Notamacropus eugenii: one gene and its partners. Each later gene encodes a partner of the first gene's protein in a complex. Links are inferred from orthologs where the notes say so. Each region holds a gene or a part of one and is shown on either strand. Other genes may lie near its edges.

Region 1 (7,500 bases):
TCTAGAAAAGACAAGCAGGGACTAGAGAATCAAGAGTGTGGTATTTCAAAGGCAAACGAGACTCCAAGAAGGGATTTGTCATTTGGTTAAAGGCCCAAAAGTCATCTGAGGATGAAAAGTGAAAATCAGCTTTGGTGACCTCAAAGAAGCTTTCAGCTGTGATAGACGCTAGACTGTGGGGGACTGAGTTGCTAGTGAGAAAATAGAGGCATCAGGTACCCTCTCCTTTCCTTGTTTCTACAAGACTGGCTGTGAAGCAGAAGAAAATAAGGTGGTGGTAGCTGACTAGAGCAGAAGTCTATTACATTCAGGGCATCTAAGGCCACGAAGACCATCCAAGTTTGAACCTTATTTTGTGACATTCTCCAACGATGCTGAGCATCCAAGGAACAACAGAGGAAGGATTGGGTAGTGAAGGAAACTCGGGATAAGCCTTGACCTTCAGAAAGCAGGCCAGAAAATAGGAATATGTCTAAAATGTCCCATAGCTTAAGAGATCTAGTATGTACCTAAACTGTCACTGAATGTTACAGAGTTAGGATCTCATAGGTTCCTTATACCTCTGTGCCACTTGAGGTCAGGTCAACAGGCATTAAGTACCTTCTATGTGCCCTGTACTGTGCTACATGCTAAGGATACAAAGAGAAGCAAAAAAGTCCCTACTCTCAAGAAGCTCACATTCTAACGGGAGAGACAACATGCAAACAACCATGGGCAAAGAAGCTATATACAAGTTAAATTGGAAATAACTGCAGAGTGAAAGCACTAGCATTAAGGGAGGTTGGGAAAAACTTCTATGAGAACGGGCTTTTAATTGAAACTTAAGGAAAGCCAGGACCTAGGGATGAGGAGGGAACGAATTTCAGGCATGGGAAACAGCTAGTGACCAGGGTGTCCTATATAAGGAATAGCCAGAAAGTCACTGGAGGACAGTAAAGTATAAGATTAATAAGGTAATAAATGGTTTTGAAGGGCTTTAAAAGCCAAACAGAATTTTATATTTTATCTTGGAGATAATAGCGAAGACACTGGAGTTTTTTGAATTGAGGAGTGGCAGTCAGACCTTCACTTTAGGAAGATGAATTTGGCAGCTAAGTAGAGGATGGGCAGGAGCAAAGAAAGACTTGAGGCTGGGAGACCAAGCAGAAGGCTGTGGCAAGAGTTTAGGCATGAAGTGATGACACTACCCCAGCACAGTGGTAGTGTAAGAGGAGTGAAGGGGCCATGTATGGAGATATTTCGAAGGCAGAATTGGCAGGACCTGGCAAAATACTGGCTGGGGGAAAGGGGAAGATAACAGTATAGAGTCAAGGATGACAATTAGGTTATGGGCTCAGGTGACAGGGAGGAGAATGGTACCCTGGGCAGTACTAGTGGAAGAGAGAGCTTGAGAAGAAATAAGATGAGTGCAGTTTTGGACTGTTTAGTAAGCGATCTATGGGACATCAAGTTCAAGATGCCTAACAAACAGCCAGCTGGAAAAGTTACCAGTAGCTTCTTGTTTATGAAAAACGGGAAGCTTGAAAAAAAGATGTGGCTGAGCTATGTTCTTCATATTTTAAAATTCCCTAAGTTCAGCAGCCAGATTTGGCCAAAACCCATCCAAGTGCCTTTTAGCCAGAGACGTATATGATTTGAGATTAGTGACTTGGCAGGGAAAAGTTAGAGGATGGACAGGTTCTGCAAAAGTCTGGTTTATTCCCTTTAACTTTCATGAATGATTCAACATAAAGGGACTCACTAGAAGAACCAATTAGAACAAAATATTAATAATGGATAAAATAATGAATTAAGTAACCTGTTTCAGTGAGCCAGAAGTGCTACATATAGTCACTAAATTCAACAAATGTTTACTAAGCATCTAAGACAAGATCATACAGCTGAGAATACAATTTTTAAAAAATGAAAAATCCTTTGCCCCCAAAGAGCTTGAATTCTGCTGGGAACTGCCTGTGTACACAAGATGGGTAAACATCAGGTTGTAAAGTAATTTCAAGAGAACAGAATACTAGCAACTGGAGGGATCTGGAAAGGGCTTATTTAGGAGATAATTAGTATGTGGGCTGTGCTTTGAAGGAAGTTAAGGGTTCAGAGACAAGTGAGGAGGAAGATATCGGAGAGGAGTGCACAGAGAATGATGGAATGTCCTGTGTGAGGAACAGTCAGACCAGTTTGGAAGACTGTAGCCACTTATAATTGTAAAATCAGAAAGCAGCTAGGTGAGTCAGAAAGACATGAGTTTAAATCCGGCCTCAGATACTAGCTGTATGACCTTGGGCAAGTTATTTAACCTGTTTGCCTCAGCTTTCTCAACTACAAAATGAAGATACTTCCCAAGGTTGTTGTAATGATAAAATATTTGTAAAGCACTTAATGCCTGGCACATAGTAGGTGCTATAGAAGTGCTATTATTACTATTATTTAAAAGACCTGGAAAGGAAGCAAGATTGTGGAAGGCTTTACATGTGAATATTTTGTATTCTAGGGACTGTAGGAAGCCACTGAAAACTTTGGGGCAGGGCTAAGACATGGGCAGATCTGTTGAGTTTAGGGAGGTAAGAGACTGAAAGGGGCCAATTAGGAGGCTAAAACATAGGTCCTATGGTCCGGGCTGAGAGGTGATAGTGGCCTGAATTAAGTTAGAGACTGTATTTTTAGGAAAAATAAGGATGCAGATGTGGATTAAGAATCAAGACTGGCAACTGACTGGATACAGAATAGGGAAATGGGGTTGAAGGAAAAGGCAAAGGCAAGGATGACTTCAAGGTTGAGAACTTTAGGTAACTGAAAAGATGATTGTGCCAATAGACATGGGGAAATTCAGAGGCAGGATGGGTTTTTGGGGGGAAATAGGAATTCCACTTTTTTAAGTTTGATGTGACTATCTAACAACCAGGTGGAGATGTCCAGCAGCCAACTAAAATTTGGAAATCAAGTTCAGGAGAGGTTAGGAGTCATCTACCCAAAAATGATTACTAAACTCATGGGAGCTGATAAAAAAAAAAAAAAAACACATCAGCACCAAAGAACATAGGAATCAAGAAGATTGGTGTCTCAACTAAAATCCCATCTACAGGAAGCCTTTTCCAAACTATCTTAATTCTAGTGCCCTGTCTTTTAGTTATTATTTACCCTGTATATAGCTTGTTTGTACATATTCATTTGTTGTCTTCCCCATTAGAATGAGCTACTACTTTATATTATGGGGGAATTGAATGTTTTGTGCCTCATTCTGTACCCCTTGGCTTGGCGCACACACACTACCCGGCATAGGAGACACATAATGAATGTTTGTTAACTGACTTATGGTGGTCCTGGAGGGACATTTATTACGGATGTGGCTATTATGTGCTAGGCACAGAGGATACAAAGATAAAAGAAGAAAACAGTTCCAACCCTCATGAAGTTTATATTCTACTGGGATGAAAACTCTGTACTAAGAAAACACAGCAGTGACAGCAAGAAACCAGGGAAGACTGAGGTGAACCTTAAAAGGAAGACGATTTCTGTGAGGCAGAGAGGTGGACTGTATTCCAGGGATGGAGACTGACTTGTACAAACGCAGGGAGGCGGGCGTTGGGAGTAGCCAGTTGGGGGAAGAGCAGATCTGCAGAGTCCCTGAGGGGAGAGGTCAGACTCGCAGGCGGTACCCCTCCCACAAACCGTGGGGTACAGGCTTTTACCGGCCCCGCCCGCTCCCATCTCCCGTGACTACGGAAGCCAGCAAGATCGCGGCGGACCCCACGCCCTAAAGGCCTTGCTTCCTCTAGGACCTAGTGGCCTTTCAGGATGAGGTTACGGCCGTAGGGCCGGACCCCGGGGCTTCGGGATTCCACGGAACAGTCCCGGAAGGAGGCGGCCCGCCCCCAAAGACGAGGGACCGCCCGAGGCCCGGGGGCGCGGATGATTCAGCCCCATTGTGATGCAGAGAACGTGGAGGGGGAAGAATCGGCCCCAGCGTCGACTCTGCCCACACCGGCAGGCGCCCCCCGAGCCCCGCCGGCCCCTAGACGCCGTTCTGAGTGATGGGCCTGGAAGGAGGCCACGGCTCCGCAGCTTTCCTCCAAGCGCTGAGAGGCGGCCTGGCCACGCGCCCGGGGAAGCCGGCCGCGGGCGGGTCCTGAGCGGAGGCCCTGCCCGGCCAGCCGCCGTAGAGGAGGGGCTTCAGCGTGCCGCCCAAACCCCGTTCAGCTCCGCCAAAGTCTCACATTCCCTCCTCCGCTTTTCCCACCGGCTCCAAGCGGCATCGGGAAGTGTGGTGCGGGGAGGGTCATGTGACCCCCCCTACGTCACGTGGCACTTGGAGGAGGCGAAGGGGGCCCGTCTTCGCGTTCCTTGCGTCATCACGTCGCGCGGCGACGGCGGCGGCGACAACGACGGCGGCGGCGACGACGATAACCACGATTCTGGCGGCTCCGGACCCGGGAGGCGGCGGCGGCGGCTGTTCGGCGCCCACCGAGCCGCCTGCGGGCCCCGCACCCCACCCCACCCCCTCGGGCGGGGGGCCAGCCCTGCCTGGCTGGGTCGGGCGGGGTGCTGAGGTGAGTGGGGTTGGAGGAGCCACAGTTGAGCCTCCCCTGCCCTCTCCCCGCCCCGTCCGCGCGCCGCCGCCCTCATGTGGCCGGGGAGGGACCCGGAGGCGCGGAGCCCGCGGGAGGACGGGGCGGGACTGCCGGCCGCTGCGCCCTGGAGCCGCCGCCCCCTTCTCCCGGGACCGGCCTCCTTCTGGGGCTGGGAAGAGGGCCTTTTGTCATCCTGCCGCAAGTGAAAAGTGGACCGATGTTGAACCGCACGTTCCCACGACCCTTCCAGACCCAGCTGGGGAGGGGGGTCTGCTCGTGACGTGGGGGGGTGGCTTCTGTGAGCGCTGATTTTGGGTGTAGCGCAACCGGACGTGTTTTTAAATGGGAAGGCACTTCAGCGATCATTAGTCCGACCCCCTCATTGTACGGCCGATAAACCGAGAACCCCAGAAGTAACGCCTTGCCCTCACGGGACACAGGGAGCTGGCAAAGCTGATTCCACTTGTCTTTCCTTCTGATGGCAAGAGACAGGAATAAGCATTTATGTTCCTCTTACTGTGTGCCAGGGTCTGCGCTAAGCACTCTTTTTTTTTTAAACAAACGTCTCATTTGATCCTCACAGCCACTCGGTGGTTTTTTTCTTTTACAGTTGAGGAAACTGAGGCAAACAGGTTAAGTGACAGTTAGTGCTTGTGTAAGGCTGGATGGAAACTTGGCTTTCTCACCTGGGTCCAGTGGTATTTTACCGTTGTGCTGTCTAGCTGCCTCGTATGTGACATTTCTGTGCCCTCAGAGTGGTTGCACAGGCTCCTCCTCCCCACTTGTAGTGACACCCCGAACAGAAGAGAATCGACAGCACTCAATAACTCAAGGTCCCTTGATTTTGTAATGGTTTCTGCTTTGGTGATTTATGTTCCCATCTGTACAGTGGGAACAGTGATCACCTGCCCTGTACAGATGAGGTGTTGATTAACCTATTTTTTTAAAAAAAAAAAAGATAAGTAGTAATGAAAGAGTTGTCATAAGTATACTTCTGCTAATGAGGTGGCCTAGAATTGTCTTTGATATTGAAAAATGGTGGTTGAGAATAAGCTATCAAAGACTCCCCAATTTTACTTTAATCAATCATATTCTCTTGATCATTTGAAAAGCTTTAGACTGAAGAAAATGGGGCAAATTGTTGGTCTCCCCCATTCTTTCCCCCAAAGAGTATTTGTTTTTAAAAAATGGACTGATTCAAATTTAACCAGTCATCATATTTAATGAATTGTAACTGTGTTGTCAAACCATACGATTTTTTTATTTATGTAATGATGGCCATGAGTAACTGTTATTGAACCTGGAAGGTAATAGACTTTGCCATAAATCAAGTTGGTGGGTTTCCATGTGTTCAGGAGCCTCAGTTAAGCTCTTGGGTTGAATCCAGAGAGAAATTTTAATACAATATGATCTTATTATTTATTGATGCATTGTAACTTTGGTCAATTAATACCCAGTAACAGAGATGCCCTTTCAGAAAAAGAATCATAAAAGGTTAGTTTTGCAAGGGGCTGTAGAAATCATCTAATCAAAATTTTGTATTTCACAGTTGAGAGAACTAAAACTTGAAGAGGTGAAGAGACTCTTCCAAAGTTATACAAGTAGTTAACAGCAGAACCAGAGTCTGAACTAGTTTTTCTAATTTACAGGCGAAACTTCTTTCTACCACATTGCACTGTTTTACTCAAACCATTGCCCCAAGAACCCCTTAGTCAACAATTATTACTTAAATACTTCCTGTGTGCCAAGTACTAGACTAACTGCTGAGGATTTTAAAAAAGGCAAAAATATTTCCTGCCTTCAAGGAACCCACTATCTAATGGCAAACAAAACAAGCAAACAAATGAATATAAAAGGATATACAGGATAACTTGGAGATAATCTCAGAAGGCACTGGCATTAAGGAGAATTCCCAAAGTCTTTTTGAAGATGGGATTTTAGGTAAGACTTGAAGGGAACCAAGAGGTGGAGTCATAGAATCATTTTCTTAGAGCAAAGGTGTCAAAGAGTTGGCCCCAGCATTGCCGAAATCAGATTTACATGTAATTGGGAAATATCTAATAAAATTAACAAAAATACAATAAAATATAGGTAACATCTAAGTTATTATGCAGCAAGTAATAATAATTGAAGTTTCCTTGGCACTCTGAAGTTTGCAAAGCCCCATTACATAATCTCATTTGAGCTTCCTAGTACCTTATTGAAGTAGGTGCTTCAGTTATTCCCAGTTTACAAATGAGGAAAGTGAAGACCAGAGAGGTTAAGTGGCCTGTTTGTGGTTACCCAGCTCATATCAAAGGCAGGATTTGAACCCAGGACTAACTGATTCATAGTCCAGCACTATGAACTGAATTACTTTACCTCTAATATAGCCCATTTTGGTTCCAGCCTATTGCAAAATTTTTTGGTCTTTCATCCAGCATATACTTCCCTCTTGGCTTTACTTCATCTATGTATCTGATAAATGTTTCATCTCTATCTTTTAAAAAATTAATCTGTTGACCGTTGATTAAAAATTTCAAAGAGACTAGTGCTAAGGACCTTTTTTCAAGTTGACAACCAACGCTCCCTACCAACTGGAATCTTACCATTTAATTTACAAGGAATGCCATAAGAGATATTGTATAATATCATACACTAAAATACCAGGTACATTATTACCCTGATCAATTCTGACATGACTTGTTTTTAACTAACTTGTTCTGGTTCTTAATGATACCATTCTTACTACTCAGCCTACCAACTTATTCTTTTTTTAGGGTTTTGCCAGAGATCAACAGCAAGCTCATTAATAATTGAATTGTGTTAAATTTTGGGAATTTACCTTCTAGCCCTTTTTTTACTAGTCAGGGCAGTATTTCTGTTTTCTGGTACCTCTTTTGTCTTTTTCAAAAATCATCAATGGTAGTTTGTCAAATACATCTACAAGTTTTTTCAT
Region 2 (7,150 bases), on another chromosome or scaffold:
CAGAACTCCTATTGGAAACCTTATTTCCATTTGCCTGCATAGGCTAGGGTATGTTAACTGAAGACAAACCACTGTGAGAGATATATTCAAGGGAAAGGGAGAGAAAAACTGGGTACCAGTTTTATTGGATGCATAGAAGGTTGGGCTGGAGAAACTCTACTAGGAAGCTTGGAATCCATTTTCTTTGAGGGTTAATAGAGAATTCCTTTCATAGCAGGAAGCCTCACTTGAATGAGTCAAGTTATCACGAGTCTGCGATAATTATCCTATAGTCTAAATTTGAAGTTTTTTTGACAGTCCATCTCACTGGTGTTTGAAATTGCTGCATCATCATGGGTCACATAGGACCTTGGGAAAAATTTGGGTTTACCTTCTTTTGTTAATGTGGTCAGTGGGAAATCAGTTTAAAACCATTCTCAAAATTGCTCATCGGTTATTCTGGTTTTGGGCAGATGGCATAGGAGTTGAACCCCAAGAAAGGAGATGGTCTCTCTGGAAGCCTCACTTCCCTCCTGGGGCATTCTCTTCTGTTTTGTGTCTACCTTGAGGGGTTCTTTCATCCCATCCAAAACTGCAAGGAAGCCACACATGTTTGTCCATGTTGTAAGGTCTCCAGAGGTGGTAGGATCCTTAAGTGAGGAAACTGGAACATGAACCAGCTGCTCTGTAAAATGGAGAAATGGCAGCCAACTGCATAAAGAGAAAGGGACTAAATTTGGGGTCCTGTAAAATTCAAATCCTCTACTAACAATTTCCTCCATCATTGAAAACTAGCCTTAAAACCGGACTTTCGTTTATTGTCTGTTGACTCCTTGCATGTCTGTGAGATTTACTTGTTTTGGTTGTTCATTAATGGTTTCTGGGGAGGAAGAAATAGTTTATAAATTTACTTTCCATGCCCTCCCATAATGGAAGGGAAATGTTGCAAAACTGCCAAGGTGTGGTATTCTTTTGTCTATTGGCTCTTTGTTCCACCCTCCTTTCCACAGCCTCCAAGTAGCAGTTAAAAGTCTTGATCTGGTTCAAGTCAGAATGAATCAATTCCCTGATATCTTTGTGGGTAACAGGATTCCTTCTTGGTAAGTAATCCTGGAACCAGAAGCTGAGCCAGAGAGTTTTATTAGGAGAGGGAGGCGGTGGGACCAGTCTGTCTCCAAGAGTAGTAATATTTTCCAGAGGGTGAACCTCCCATTACCAAGTTATGCTTTAACTTTAGAGTTAGAGGGGTCAACTCTGGAACTTTTATTAGGCCAGTAAAGCATTCCAAAGAGCCCTCTGCTCAAGCCCTTCCCTTTAGCTACCACCCACATCTCACCATCCCTCCCTGGTTGAGTCTTCACAAAGGATTAGATAGTTTCTCCTTCTGTAAGAAATTCTTTGGTCCTCCTGTTTCAGCCCTCTCAAAAATAAACAACTGAAGCAGAACAAAGAGTCCTCCATGCTCCAAGAATCATTGAACAGCTGTGTGGGGGCCTGGGCTCTGACCTTCTGCCTGAAAGATGTCTCAGGTCCCTCCCTACTCACCCCCCCCCCCAGTCTAAGTCTTTGAGTCAAGACAGTCCTCCAACAGGGAACCCACAGGACTATAAACTGGAAGAGATCAGAGAGAAATATCTGCTCCAACACCCTACATCTTATAGAGGTGGAAATTGTCAGCTGGGTGTAGCCCACCACTTAGTTCTCTATTTTGTGAGAATATCCCAGAGATTAATAGGCTTATTTTCTACATGTTAAGAAAGGAAGAAACTTGCCCCAGGATCATATAGCAAGTAAATTTGAAGAGTGAGGCCTAGAACCTGAGGTTACTGGCTTCCACCTAGTTAAAAAGAAGTAGTCAAGAAGCTGTACCTCATCTCCACGGGTGCCTACCCTGAACCCCCGGTATTGTCCAGTTGAAGAAATAGACCCAGAAAGGGGAGTTATTTAGGAACAAAAGCAGGGCCACAATTCAGGATTCGGGACTCTTTGATAAGTTAAAATTGGAAGGGACCTTACAGATCATTCCATTCCATTCAACAGATACTCATTATGCACCCTGCAAAGCTCTTCGAGGGCTAAGACAGGGTCCCTGTCCCCCTGAAGATCAGACTAGGAGTGAGATATGGCAAATAACTCTATTATACAATAAGTGGATTAGAGAGATGTGGACAAAGGGCTGTGTTCAAAAAGGGGACTGAGACACTATGAAGGAGCGGCAGCATCTGTGTTGGGCTTTAAAGGATGGGTAGGAATTCAACAGAAGAAATGGAAGGAATTTGGGGAATGTCCATTGTTTCCTATAAATAACATGAGTACCAGAGCTAGTGGAGCTGGGGAGAGGTGTGAGCTGCCTTAGCTCAGGATGGAGTTCAGGAGGCCAAGAGAGCAGTCCAGTCTGGCTGGAGCATGCAAGGCCCCGAGGGGGATCATGTGAGATAATGCTGGAAGATCATCTCCTGTAACCCGCTCAAGTTTCCAGAAGAGGAAACTGAGCTCCCAACGGGACAATTGACATAGAAGTCCTAGACAAGCCCTCTCACTGCTCAAGAGCCAGAGCCCTTGGGAAGGAAAAGAACAGGAGAAGAATGGAAAGTGACTGGCCTCTCAGCAGCCTTGTGAGCTTCCCCTCTTTTACATCTGTAAAGTGAGGGGACCAAACTTGAGTCCTTCCAACTAACAGTTCACAAATATAAGTCCAGGCAAAGAGAATCTAGCTAGGCAAATTGACCTGAGTCAGAGACTCAGCCCTGGACTTGGAATCAGAGGACCAGGAACAGATTCCTGGCTCTGTGGTTTACTGCTGCATGATCCTGAGCAAGTCACTTAATATCTGCCTCAGTTTCCCCACTTGTAAAATAAGGATTATAATAACACCTACCTCTCAGGATTAATGTGAGGATCAAATGAGATATTTGTAAAGAACCTAGATCAGTTCCTGGCACATTTTTGTTATTGTTGTTACTGCACTTTTCTTGAATAGATGCTGGAATGGTTTGCCATTTCCTTCTTCAATGTGCCCCCATTTTATAGATGACAACTGAGGCAAATAGGGTTTAAGAGACTTACACAGAGTTATATAACTAGCAAGTGTCTGAGGCTGGATTTGAACTCGGATCTTCCTGACTCCAGCCTGGTGCTCTATCCACTGAACCATCTAGCTGACCTTCCTGGCACATAGTAAATGTTTAATAAATGATTGTCCCCTTCCCATTCCACTGCCTAAATAGGCAATGACTTATGCTACTTGAACCCCATGGGCTTCAGTTTCCTTATGTGGAGTCACCAACTTCAATCCTTTGGGTAAGATAGTAGACCACAGAAATTTAGCGCCCACCCTACTGCTACCACTCCTCAAGACTCTTGGGCATTACCATGCACCATTGCTGCACCCTAAGGAACTGTCTCCTTTCCAACTACCCTGGGGTGGAAATCTTCTGAAAATGTTTTTTTCCATTCATTCTTATGAGTACACACAAGGTAAATACAAGTTAACGAGACTGGGGGCATAAGAGGAGGGTTTCATGGAGAAGGTGGTGTTTGAGCTGAGAAACAAGGGATTCTAAGGAGCAGAGGTGAAGAGGAAGTAAGTCTATCCCATGCATGAGGGATGGCCTGGGCAATAGTATGGAGGTGGGAAAGTAGTGTCTTGTGTGAGGAAGAGCAAGGTGGCTGGGGCCCTGAGAGCAGGGAAGTGAGTAAATAACTCATAATAAGGCTGGACAGGCAGGTCAGGGCCAGTTTCTCCAGGGCTTTAAATGCCAAACAAAGACGTGGATATCTGACCCCAAAGTCCATAGGAAACCACTGGCATTTACTGCACAAGGGAGTGAAACACGTTAGCAGCCCAGGATTAGACTGCTGGGACTTGAGGCAGGAAGGTGAACTAGGGGCTACTAGCAGGCCAGGTGAGAGAGGTGGGGCAGCGGACTCATCTTCATGAGTTCAAATCCCGTCTCAGACACTTGTTAGCTGCAGGACCCTGAGCAAGTGGCTAACTCTGCCTCAGTTTCCTTATCTGTAAAATGAGCTAGAGATGGAAATGGCAAAGTTGGATACAACTGAACCACAAAAGGTGAAAGATGAGGAGGGTCTGAACGATGAGTGGCCGCGGGAGGAAAAAGGAGACAATGCGAACTGGGAAGTGTGAAGTCAGGGAATTACCGGGTTTTTATTTGGTATATGAATGAATGAATGAACAAGTGAGTGAATGAACGAGTGAGTGAATGAATGAGTGAGTGAAAGAATGAGTGAATGAATGAGTGAGTGAATGAATGAATGAGTGAATGAGTGAGTGAACGAGTGAGTGAATGAACAAGTGAGTGAACGAATGAGTGAATGAATGAGTGAGTGAACGAGTGAGTGAATGAACGAGTGAGTGAACGAGTGAGTGAATGAACGAATGAGTGAACGAGTGAGTGAATGAACGAGTGAGTGAACGAGTGAGTGAGTGAACGAGTGAGTGAATGAACGAGTGAGTGAACGAGTGAGTGAATGACTGAGTGAATGAACGAGTGAGTGAGTGAATGAACGAGTGAGCATCCGTGCCATCAGCCTCAGAACGTCATCCCCAGCTTTGCTCGCCAGGCTTCCCTGGCGCCTACACCCCCGTCCTGCAGGGGGCGCTGCCACCCAGACAACCCGAGCCCCGCCCCTCCGAGAACGGCTCGCCAGGATGTGACGTTAAAGGAGCACTGCAAGTCAGGCCCCGCTACTCCATCGGCCTGGTCCAATATGGCCGCCGCGGCCTCTGTTCGCTGGTGAAGCAAGGCATCTCCGGAGAGCCCGAGGTGCGTCTTTGAAGTGGAGGAGAAAAGAGCCCGAGGGCCTGCAGGCCGGGCTGCCGCCACAGCAGCCGAACGTAGGCCAAAGGGGCACTTCCACCTGGAGCCAGCCGGGGCTGGTGGTAAGCGAGCCTCGCCTCATTACGTCACATCCGCCCAAGGCTCCCACGGATCCCCTCCAATCAGCAGCCGGGCTCGCCTCCGCCTCGCTCTCGTGAGAACGTGCAGGCCGCGCCTCCTCGCGCCGCAACGTCACAGACGCCATGTCTAGCTACCCGTACGGGCAGGTGAGTGACTAAGGGAGCGCTGAACCGATCCGGGCCGGCCCGGGAGGGGTCGGGCCTGGGGGTTGGGCTCCTCCCCGGCTGGGAGGTCTGTCCGGGGCCTCCGCCAGCCAGGGGCAGAGGCCGGGAAGCGGCGGCGGCGGCGGCCGTGCCCCCCTGGCACCTCGGCTGAGGGCGGCTCCCGCCCGAGCCTCCCACGCCCCCCGGGCCACCGTCCTGGGGTGTCCGAGGCCCCGGGTCCCGCCGATGGCCTGTGTTCTAAGGGCCTTTCCAGCTCTGACGCTCTGCGTTCTAGGTGCCTTCCGCCTCTGACAGGTCCTGTCCTAAGGCAGGGATGGGGAACCTTCAGCCTGAAGACCGCGTGTGGCCTGCTAGGTCCTCGGGTGCGGCCGTTTTACAGGACAGATCCACTTATCGAGGGGATCCGTTCTGTGGAGTGCGGGTGCGGTCAGAGGGCCGCCCTTGAGGACCTGGGGACCGTGGGTTAGTAGCAGAACCAAGAGGAGAACCTCTGATGACCGCCCGGGCCAGGGCCGGGCTCTCTCAGCTGCCGGTCGTCATTCCTGTTGGTGTGGAATTGTGTTTCCTCACAGTAGTCCTGTGGGGTGGGTGGTGAGGAGGAGGAGGGTGGAATAGCAAAGGTAGTGGTAATGCCTGACCCTCCTAAAGCTCTCTCGGTCTTCACAATAGCTTTGTCTTTTATTATTGTTCAATATCCTGCGTGTTTTATTTTATGCATTTAAAAACAGCAGGAGGCTCGCTTTGTCTGCCACGACATAGAAAAGATTAAGAATCAATAAGAGAACTGAGACCCCCCAAAGGGAAGCACCCTCAGTCACAGAGCTGTCAAGTAGTGAAGCTGAGCTTCAGATCCAGCATTCCCTGTCCTCTTCTGACTCCCCGTTTTATCTGGTAAGAGTGGCTCCTGCCCATGAGGAGCTTCAGTCTAGGGAAGGCAGGATGTGAACTCAAGAAACAGCAGAGAACAGGACCGTGTGAACATAGTACTTCCCTGGCCACAGACGCAATGCACTGTCATGCATCCTCTCAGCCAGCCCTTCAAACTTCCCTGTTTCTCTGGAGGCCCCGCTGCCCTGCCCAGGTCCATAACTTCAGTCTCCCTTTCTCTTTCTCCATCCTAGTCCTCAGAGCTGACCGTGGTCAAGTCATGTTAATTAGGCCTCCACCCCTCCCACATCCATTGCCTTTCCCGTCACATCTGCTGCCCTAGTTCAGGTCCTTGTGGCCTCTCATCTGGACCGTTCTAATATCTTTCAGGCCAAAATTGATCTCCAAGCTCCTGGTCTCTTGTCCAATCCATTCTTCATACCACTACTGACATCAAGATAATTTTCCTTTTCACCATATCATTCCTTACTCATATACCTTCAGTAGGTCCCCATTACCTCCAGAATTAAATACGGCTCCATTGCTTTCCATCATTATCTCCTGCTGTTCCCTACCACAGATGGGTCCTAGCAAGGTTGGATCTGTTCCAGAGCTCATTCTCCTGTCTCTGTGCATTTAAGCATGATGTGCCGTTGCTGGAATGCCCTCCTCCCTTTGGCCATTAAGGCTCTACTCTGGTGTCGCCTCTTCCATGCATCTTTACCTGCTTCCCCCAGTTAGTCACATTTTCTCTTGCCTTAATTTTCCTTCTGATGGTTGGTTTTTATATAGCGCTTTAAAGTTTGCAAAGCACTTTACACATATGCTTTCCCTTATTCCTCACAACAACCCTGTGAGGTCGATGCTGTTGTGATCCCCATTTTATAGTTAGGGAAACTGAGACAAGCAGAGGTGAAATGACTGGACTGAGGTCACACAGCTGGTATGTGTTCAAGGCCTCCAGACCCATCCGCTCTTCAGCTGTCTTATATAGAGTGTATGTGTGTGGTTGGGGTGCTTCCTCCCCTTCTTTACACACACCCCACACACACACTGCAGGGATGGTATCCTAAATATGTGTTGAATTGCCCAGAGTGGGAAGTTGAAAGAGTTTTCTTATTCTTTTCATTCAACAAAGGGTAAGTGCCTAACATTAAGTACTTGCTGTGTGCTGTAGCCCGAATCATGAGCAAAACCAAGGATAAGTCCTATTTTCAA
Region 3 (7,213 bases), on another chromosome or scaffold:
TGACTCAGAGTGAATGTAAAAATAGGAATTGTTTCTATTTTGGCCAGAAACTCTGAGGGTCTTCTCCTTCTACTTCGATTTTTTTCTTTTTGGCCTAGGTTCTTTGTCTCATTTTTGTTTACCTAGCCCTCATCACTAGATGGATGTTGCCTCAGTCAAACTGAGACTTGCAAAAGACCAAGGTTTCCTACCACATCCTGGGCCATCTCCGTCACCCTAATGACTTAAATCAGTTCACTTGCATGTCATGGCATCACCTCCCTGATGTCATGGTCCTCTTCAAGAACGAGGAACAAGCACCAACTACCTCACCTAGACCTGTGTGCTTTACCCGGGCGTTTCTAGCCTCTGAGAGCCTCAAGCACCACTTACAAGGCAGTGGAGGCTCAGCGGCTGCAGTCAGGAAGACCCAGGTTTAAATCCAGCCTCCAGCAGCCTACTGGCTGTGAGACTTTGGACAAGTCACATAACCTCTGTTTGCTGTAAAATGAGAATAAGAGCACTTCTCAGAATTGTGACCGTACCTATAGAGCACTTAGGACAGTACCTGGCATCCAGCACACATTAATAATATTTAACCTTTTCCTTCCTGCCTGCCCTCCCTGCTGGGAGTTCTCCTTGCTCACCTTGAGGATCCAAGGGCCCCCTGGACCCTTCTGGTCCTCATCTTCTCAGAGAGCCCCCCGTTCCCTCTCCGTTCTGAAGTTCCCAGCTCCCTATCCCCTAATGCCCCTGCCCCCGTCCAGTCCTGTCCCCTCAGAGGTCCCAAACCCCTTTCCTGCACTATACCGTCCCCTGAGGAGTCTTGTCCCTCCCCTCGGGGTCCAGGCGCCCCCTCCCGTCCCTCCCCTCGGGGTCCAGGCGCCCCCTCCCGTCCCGCCCCTCGGGGCCCCGGCTCCCTTTCCGGTCCGTCCCGCCCCCTCGGGGTCCAGGCGCCCCCTCCCGTCCCTCCCCTCGGGGTCCAGGCGCCCCCTCCCGTCCCGCCCCTCGGGGCCCCGGCTCCCTTTCCGGTCCGTCCCGCCCCCTCGGGGTCCAGGCGCCCCCTCCCGTCCCTCCCCTCGGGGTCCAGGCGCCCCCTCCCGTCCCGCCCCTCGGGGCCCCGGCTCCCTTTCCGGTCCGTCCCGTCCCCTCGGGGCCCCGGCTCCCTTTCCGGTCCGTCCCGCCCCCTCGGGGTCCAGGCGCCCCCTCCCGTCCCTCCCCTCAGGGTCCAGGCGCCCCCTCCCGTCCCGCCCCCTCGGGGTCCAGGCGCCCCCTCCCGTCCCTCCCCTCGGGGTCCAGGCGCCCCCTCCCGTCCCGCCCCCTCGGGGTCCAGGCGCCCCCTCCCGTCCCGCCCCTCGGGGCCCCGGCTCCCTTTCCGGTCCGTCCCGCCCCCTCGGGGTCCAGGCGCCCCCTCCCGTCCCGCCCCCTCGGGGTCCAGGCGCCCCCTCCCGTCCCGCCCCTCGGGGCCCCGGCTCCCTTTCCGGTCCGTCCCGCCCCCTCGGGGTCCAGGCGCCCCCTCCCGTCCCGCCCCCTCGGGGTCCAGGCGCCCCCTCCCGTCCCGCCCCTCGGGGCCCCGGCTCCCTTTCCGGTCCGTCCCGCCCCCTCGGGGTCCAGGCGCCCCCTCCCGTCCCGCCCCCTCGGGGTCCAGGCGCCCCCTCCCGTCCCGCCCCCTCGGGGTCCAGGCGCCCCCTCCCGTCCCGCCCCCTCGGGGTCCAGGCGCCCCCTCCCGTCCCGCCCCTCGGGGCCCCGGCTCCCTTTCCGGTCCGTCCCGCCCCCTCGGGGTCCAGGCGCCCCCTCCCGTCCCGCCCCCTCGGGGTCCAGGCGCCCCCTCCCGTCCCGCCCCCTCGGGGTCCAGGCGCCCCCTCCCGTCCCCGCCCCTCGGGGCCCCGGCTCCCTTTCCGGTCCGTCCCGCCCCCTCGGGGTCCAGGCGCCCCCTCCCGTCCCGCCCCCTCGGGGTCCAGGCGCCCCCTCCCGTCCCGCCCCCTCGGGGTCCAGGCGCCCCCTCCCGTCCCGCCCCTCGGGGCCCCGGCTCCCTTTCCGGTCCGTTCCGCCCCCTCGGGGTCCAGGCGCCCCCTCCCGTCCCGCCCCTCGGGGCCCCGGCTCCCTTTCCGGTCCGTCCCGTCCCCACGGGACTCACAGGGTCCGGGCTGCGCGTCATCCTGGGGGCAGCGAGGGCGTGCACGGGCATGGCGGTGTCCACAGGCATGGTGGTGTCCACGGGCACGGCGGAGGAGTCCACGGGCACGGCGGTGTCCACGGCGGGCTGGGGCTAGGGCTCATGTTGTCGGGGACCCCAAAGGCTCGGCGTCTGCGCTCGATGTCCGGCCAGAGCTCCGCGGTCTCTCTGTGTACTCCTGCTTCTCCGGTCAGGTTGGCTCTGAAATAAACACGGCTCCTCGGGTCCTTATATACGACGCGCTGACGTCACGGAGCGGAGTTTACCAACGTCAGGCAAGGGGGGGCGCGGGGGAAAACGAAGAACGCAAGGCTGCCACTCCCTCCCGAGCGGAGTTTCCTTAAGTGGAATCGCTCGGATCCCCTAGGGCTGACGTCATAGGAGGGGCGGGGCGATCAGGGAGCTCGATGACGTCATGGTCCCGTGCTCCGGGGATCCCGCGCCCAGGAGGTGATTCAGGGCTCTGGAACCTCCGAGAGCAGTCCGGAGCAGCCCCGCCCCGCCCGGCCATCCTCTGGATCGCGGCTCGGTCGCCTAGCCCCTTGTCACCCTCGTAGGGGATGAGCCTGCCGTCCCTGCCGCACCTGGGGCGGGGGGGCCTGAGCAGGCGGGTTCCCCTCCTAATCCCTCGGATCCCATTAATGTCACAGCACAGCGCCCAGCCTTCTGGCTGAACCTGTATAACCTCCTCCCCGAGTCGGTCAGTCAGTCAGTCAACAATCCTGGAGGACAGCCTGTCCAGGGCAACCTTCTGGTCAAGCCTTCTCCTGCACCCCGCCCCCAGCCCCCCTGCCCGTGCCAGCCGGGCTGCATGCTTCCTTTCAGCCAGCCTGGGGTCTGACTCCCCAGTCCTTTTACTCTCGGGGACCCAGGAGACTTGTGCGGAGCCCCTTGAGTCCCACCCAGACAGCTGTGGGGGCCGAGGAGCCTCGGGGTCAAGGGAGGGGAGGGGCCGGCCAGAGGGAGGGAAGAGCGTGGGTGGAGGAGTTGAGGAACAAGGGAGAGACACGGACCTACTGTAGAGAAAGGGAGAGGTCCAGAGAGCGGAGAGAGACCGAGGGAGACAGGAAGGTATGGGCAGGCTGATCCCGAAATCCAGAGTTAGAGAGAGAGAGAGAGACTGAACCCGGGACTGAGAGAGAGGGAGGCATAGAAAGACAGAGGAGGAATAGTAGGGGAAGGGGGGGGAGAGAAAGAGAGAGAGAGAGAGGGAGAGAGAGACAGACAGACAGAGAGAGAGAGAGACAGACAGACAAAGAAAGAGAGACAGAAACAGAGAGAAACAGACAGACAAAGAGAGAGAGAGAGAAACAGAGAGACAGGGAGAGAGAGACAGACAAAGAGAGAGACAGACAGACAGACAAAGAAAGAGAGACAGAAACAGAGAGAAACAGACAGACAAAGAGAGAGAGACAGAAACAGAGAGAGACAGAGAGACAGGGAGAGAGAGACAGACAGACAAAGAGAGAGAGAGAGACAGAAACAGAGAGAAACAGACAGACAAAGAGAGAGAGAGAGAAACAGAGGGACAGGGAGAGAGAGACAGACAGACAAAGAGAGAGACAGACAGACAAAGAAAGAGAGACAGAAACAGAGAGAGACAGAGAGAAACAGACAGACAAAGAGAGAGAGACAGAAACAGAGAGAGACAGAGAGACAGGGAGAGAGAGACAGACAGACAAAGAGAGAGAGAGACAGAAACAGAGAGAGACAGACAGGGAGAGAGAGACAGAGAAAGAGAGGGAGACAGAGAGAGACAGAGAGAGAGAGAGAGAGAGGAGGAGATAAGTGGATGGAGAATAGAGAAACAAGGAGAAGAAAAGCCAGCAAGTGACAGAGAAAGAAAAACAGGAAGAGACAGAGAGAGAAGAGACAGATGCACAGAGAGGCACACAGGGAGTGACAGAAACAGAGAGAGCGAAAGAAATTCAGAGAGACAGTGAGAGACAAATAAAAGGAAAGAGACAGGAGGCAGAGAGAGGCTGAGGAAGGGTGAGCCACTTGGGAGTGAGAGCACTTGGGAACTGAAGAAGGAACACCCAGCTGTGCTCTTGGATCTGTGCTGATCCCACTTCCTTCATCTGGAGGGCCTGGTAGGTTTCTAGACCTGGGGGAGGGGGGACACAGGTATGCTTGGGTTCCTTCCTACAATTGGGGAGGGGGGGGGTTGGTATGTTTGATCAGGACTGGGGGTTGAAGAAGGATGGAGTTACAAGGGCAGCCAGACTAAGGGGTGGGAAGGCGATGTGGATCTCTAAGCATGAAGGGAGGGGCAGATTCTTGGCCTGAAGGGGGGGTGGTCTGGACATAAAGAGGCCTCTTTTCTCTGGCTTCCCCCCTAGCAGCTGCTGTAGCCGCCCACCCCCTGGCACTGCCTCTTGGTATGTGGCAGGGGGCCAAGGCCTCCCCCAGCCCCCAACTCTCCCCCTACTCTGTATATCTCACACAAGGAGGCTTTTCTCCTTATCCTCCCCACTGCTGGGGTCACTGACCCTGCCTGGGCTCCTCCTCCTCCTGAACCTCTCTCAATCTTCTTCTTCTTCTTCAAGTGGCTCCCCAACATGGAGGAAAGCAGGCCCCGGAGCAGCCTCAGCATGGCCAGCAGTGTCTCCACTGTCTCCTCCATCAGCCTCAGCACCAAGGTGATGCAGGTGGCTGAGGTGGGGTGGGGAGAAGGTGGGCTGGTGGACCTCCCTCTCCCTGTGTCAAGGTTTGGGCTCCCAAGGTCTGGAGAGGGACCAGCAGCTGGGCCATGAAAACACCCAATACCTCAGAGTGTGAGACTGTCCCCTGGCCCAATTCCTTCCCAAGCCAGGTGCTGGGGGTGCCCAGCTCTTGAAAAGAGCCCCCAATTCCTCCTTTTCATATTCTTTCCTTACTCTTTGAGTCGCTCTGCCCGTGCTTCCTCTGAAATCCTAATAGTTTAGGGCATCTGCTCCTGGGGAGCAGGACTAAAAGAGGAGGTGAGCTTCCTGAGGACAAGTACTACCTTAGGCCTGTCTCTATTCCCAGTACGGTGCCTGCCACTTTTAATAAAGCCTCCTTGAATTGGACTGAATGAATGGAATGAGATCTGGGGTTTCTGCCCACCTACAACTCCTCTTGGCCAGGACCCTAAGCCTGCCCTGCCAGTAGAGCAGTCACTCGGTCCTGGACCACGCCCCCCCCCCCCCTCCCGCCGCCGCAATGAGGGGAAGGGAAGAGAATGAGAAGTGCCTCCCTCCCCTACAGTGGAGCCCTTCCAGGTCTGAGGTTTCCCTGTGCCCCCAGGCAGTCCCTTTCCTGCCTCTCTCTCCTCTAGCCCCCTCGGGCAGTCAGCCGGATCCATGCCTTTGGGAAAAGGGGAAGCTCCCTCCGCAGAGACCCCAACCTGCCTGTGGACATTCGAGGCTGGCTGCATAAGCAGGTACTGTGGGGCTAGGGCCCCTGCCTGTCCCTCGTCTGTCACCTCCCTAGGCTCTGCACTGTGTTGCATGCCCTGTTACTGGCTGCAGAGGGACCCCAGCTTTCACTTGCTCCGTGACTGTCACTCTTTGCTGCCGAGGTTGCCCCCAATCTTTGCTGTCTTGCTGGCTCTGTCTCTGTGACCCTCCACGACTCTATTTCCCTTCACCTCATCTCCATTTCCTGGTACATGCTCAGGTCTTGCCAATATTTGTCAAAACAGCTCTGGTCTCAGGTTCTAAAAATATGACTGTTCGCCCTGGTCCTCCGTCCCTGTCTCTGTGTCTCTGTGTCTTCTTGTCTCACTGTCTCTCATCTCCGTCCCCTCCATGTCTTTCTGTCTCCCCATCCCCCTGTCCCTCTGTCTCCCTATCCCCAGGTTCCTCTCTGCCTGTCTCACTGTACTCCCACCTCATCCTCCTGAGGTTTCACCTGTCTCAGGGCACTCAGGTGTCTCTGGTCTCTCTCCCAGGACAGCTCTGGCCTCCGGCTCTGGAAGCGGCGCTGGTTTGTCCTGTCTGGCCACTGCCTCTTCTATTACAAGGGTCAGTGTCCAAAGGATGGGTTGGAATGGGGATAGAGAAACCTTCCCCAGTGACCGCTGATCCTTGACTCCCTTGCAGACAGCCGGGAGGAGAGTGTCCTGGGCAGTGTCCCTCTCCCCAGCTACAGTGTCCGTCCAGATGGCCCTGGGGCCCCCCGGGGGCGCCGCTACACTTTCACTGTGAGTTAGAGATGATCCTGGTGTCCTCTCCCCCCTAGAACCCCTCGGGGACCCTGGTATCCACTGCTCCAGCTGCTAGTGCCTCCCTGCCCCTCCCCCTTACCTTCTATTCTCTGTAATCTGCTGGCTCTGTGCATGTCTCCCCCCTACACACACATAAGCTGCTTAAGAGCAGGGACTGTCAGCACACAGCCCCAGGACCCAGTACATCGGTCTGGCAAAGAGAACCAGATCAATGCTTATTTACTGACCCCCCCCCCCCCCTCAAGAACTGGCAGCCAGCCCTTCTCCTTCAGGCCCAAAAATTCCTTCCCTGAGCTTTATGTCCCCCTCCTTCTCACCTCCCTTCCCAGGCTGAGCACCCTGGGATGAGAACGTACGTATTGGCCGCTGATACGGTGGAGGACCTTCGCGGGTGGCTGCGGGCTCTGGGTCGTGCCACCCGAGCTGAAGGGGATGACTAGTAAGTGTGGGCAGGATTATCGCCACTTGAATCCCAGCCCCTCTATGGCTGTCCCTGACTGCACCCCAGCTTCCTCATCTGGAAAATGGGGAGCAGTCTAAGGCTGGTTGTTGCTGTTGAGCCCTGTCTGACTCTTCCTGACCCCATCTGGGGTTTTCTTGCCATTTCCTTCTCCAGCTCATTTTACAGTTGAAGAAACTGAGGCAAACTGGGTGAAGTGACTTGCCCAGGGTCACACAGCTACTGTATGTAAGTGTATGAAGTCGCATTTGAGCTCAGGGCTTCCTGATCCCATGCCCAGTGCTCTGTGCACTATGGCACAATCTAGCTGCCCCCTGCCCAAGAATCCAAGAATCAGAGATGTAGAGCTAAAACCACCTCAGCGGCCATCTCCTCCAGCCCGAGGAAGTTAATGGAAGAATCTGCC

The links.
Region 2: the proteins of KLHL12 (region 1) and PEF1 are in contact, whole or in part, in a crystal structure (PDB 8RBH), measured with the Homo sapiens proteins. The link is inferred for Notamacropus eugenii from reciprocal best matches to the Homo sapiens genes KLHL12 and PEF1. Residues at the interface, in NP_067646.1 of Homo sapiens: Phe289, Gln293, Arg320, Tyr321, Leu371, Glu417, Tyr434, Ile439, Phe481, His486, Cys511, Tyr512, Tyr528, Leu533, Cys558; in NP_036524.1 of Homo sapiens: Gly15, Gln16, Ala17, Pro18, Gly19, Ala20, Pro21, Pro22.
Region 3: the proteins of KLHL12 (region 1) and PLEKHA4 are in contact, whole or in part, in a crystal structure (PDB 8OIO), measured with the Homo sapiens proteins. The link is inferred for Notamacropus eugenii from reciprocal best matches to the Homo sapiens genes KLHL12 and PLEKHA4. Residues at the interface, in NP_067646.1 of Homo sapiens: Phe289, Arg320, Glu417, Tyr434, Ile439, Phe481, His486, Cys511, Tyr512, Tyr528, Leu533, Cys558; in NP_065955.2 of Homo sapiens: Pro177, Gly178, Gly179, Pro180.

What each region holds. Positions count from the first base shown.
Region 1 is NC_092873.1:437,284,998-437,292,497, forward strand, and holds the start of KLHL12 (kelch-like protein 12), read left to right. Parts: upstream 1-4,410; 5' UTR 4,411-4,541; intron 4,542-4,943; exon of another isoform or gene 4,944-5,395; intron 5,396-6,413; exon of another isoform or gene 6,414-6,503; intron 6,504-7,500. UniProt on the Homo sapiens protein: Substrate-specific adapter of a BCR (BTB-CUL3-RBX1) E3 ubiquitin ligase complex that acts as a negative regulator of Wnt signaling pathway and ER-Golgi transport.
Region 2 is NC_092876.1:78,258,255-78,265,404, forward strand, and holds the start of PEF1 (peflin), read left to right. Parts: upstream 1-4,147; 5' UTR 4,148-5,023; coding exon 5,024-5,047; intron 5,048-7,150. UniProt on the Homo sapiens protein: Calcium-binding protein that acts as an adapter that bridges unrelated proteins or stabilizes weak protein-protein complexes in response to calcium.
Region 3 is NC_092876.1:12,631,758-12,638,970, forward strand, and holds the start of PLEKHA4 (pleckstrin homology domain-containing family A member 4), read left to right. Parts: upstream 1-4,127; 5' UTR 4,128-4,248; intron 4,249-4,704; 5' UTR 4,705-4,716; coding exon 4,717-4,797; intron 4,798-5,456; coding exon 5,457-5,561; intron 5,562-6,071; coding exon 6,072-6,144; intron 6,145-6,222; coding exon 6,223-6,323; intron 6,324-6,676; coding exon 6,677-6,786; intron 6,787-7,213. Other genes in the region: PPP1R15A (protein phosphatase 1 regulatory subunit 15A), read right to left, coding at 2,117-2,185. UniProt on the Homo sapiens protein: Binds specifically to phosphatidylinositol 3-phosphate (PtdIns3P), but not to other phosphoinositides.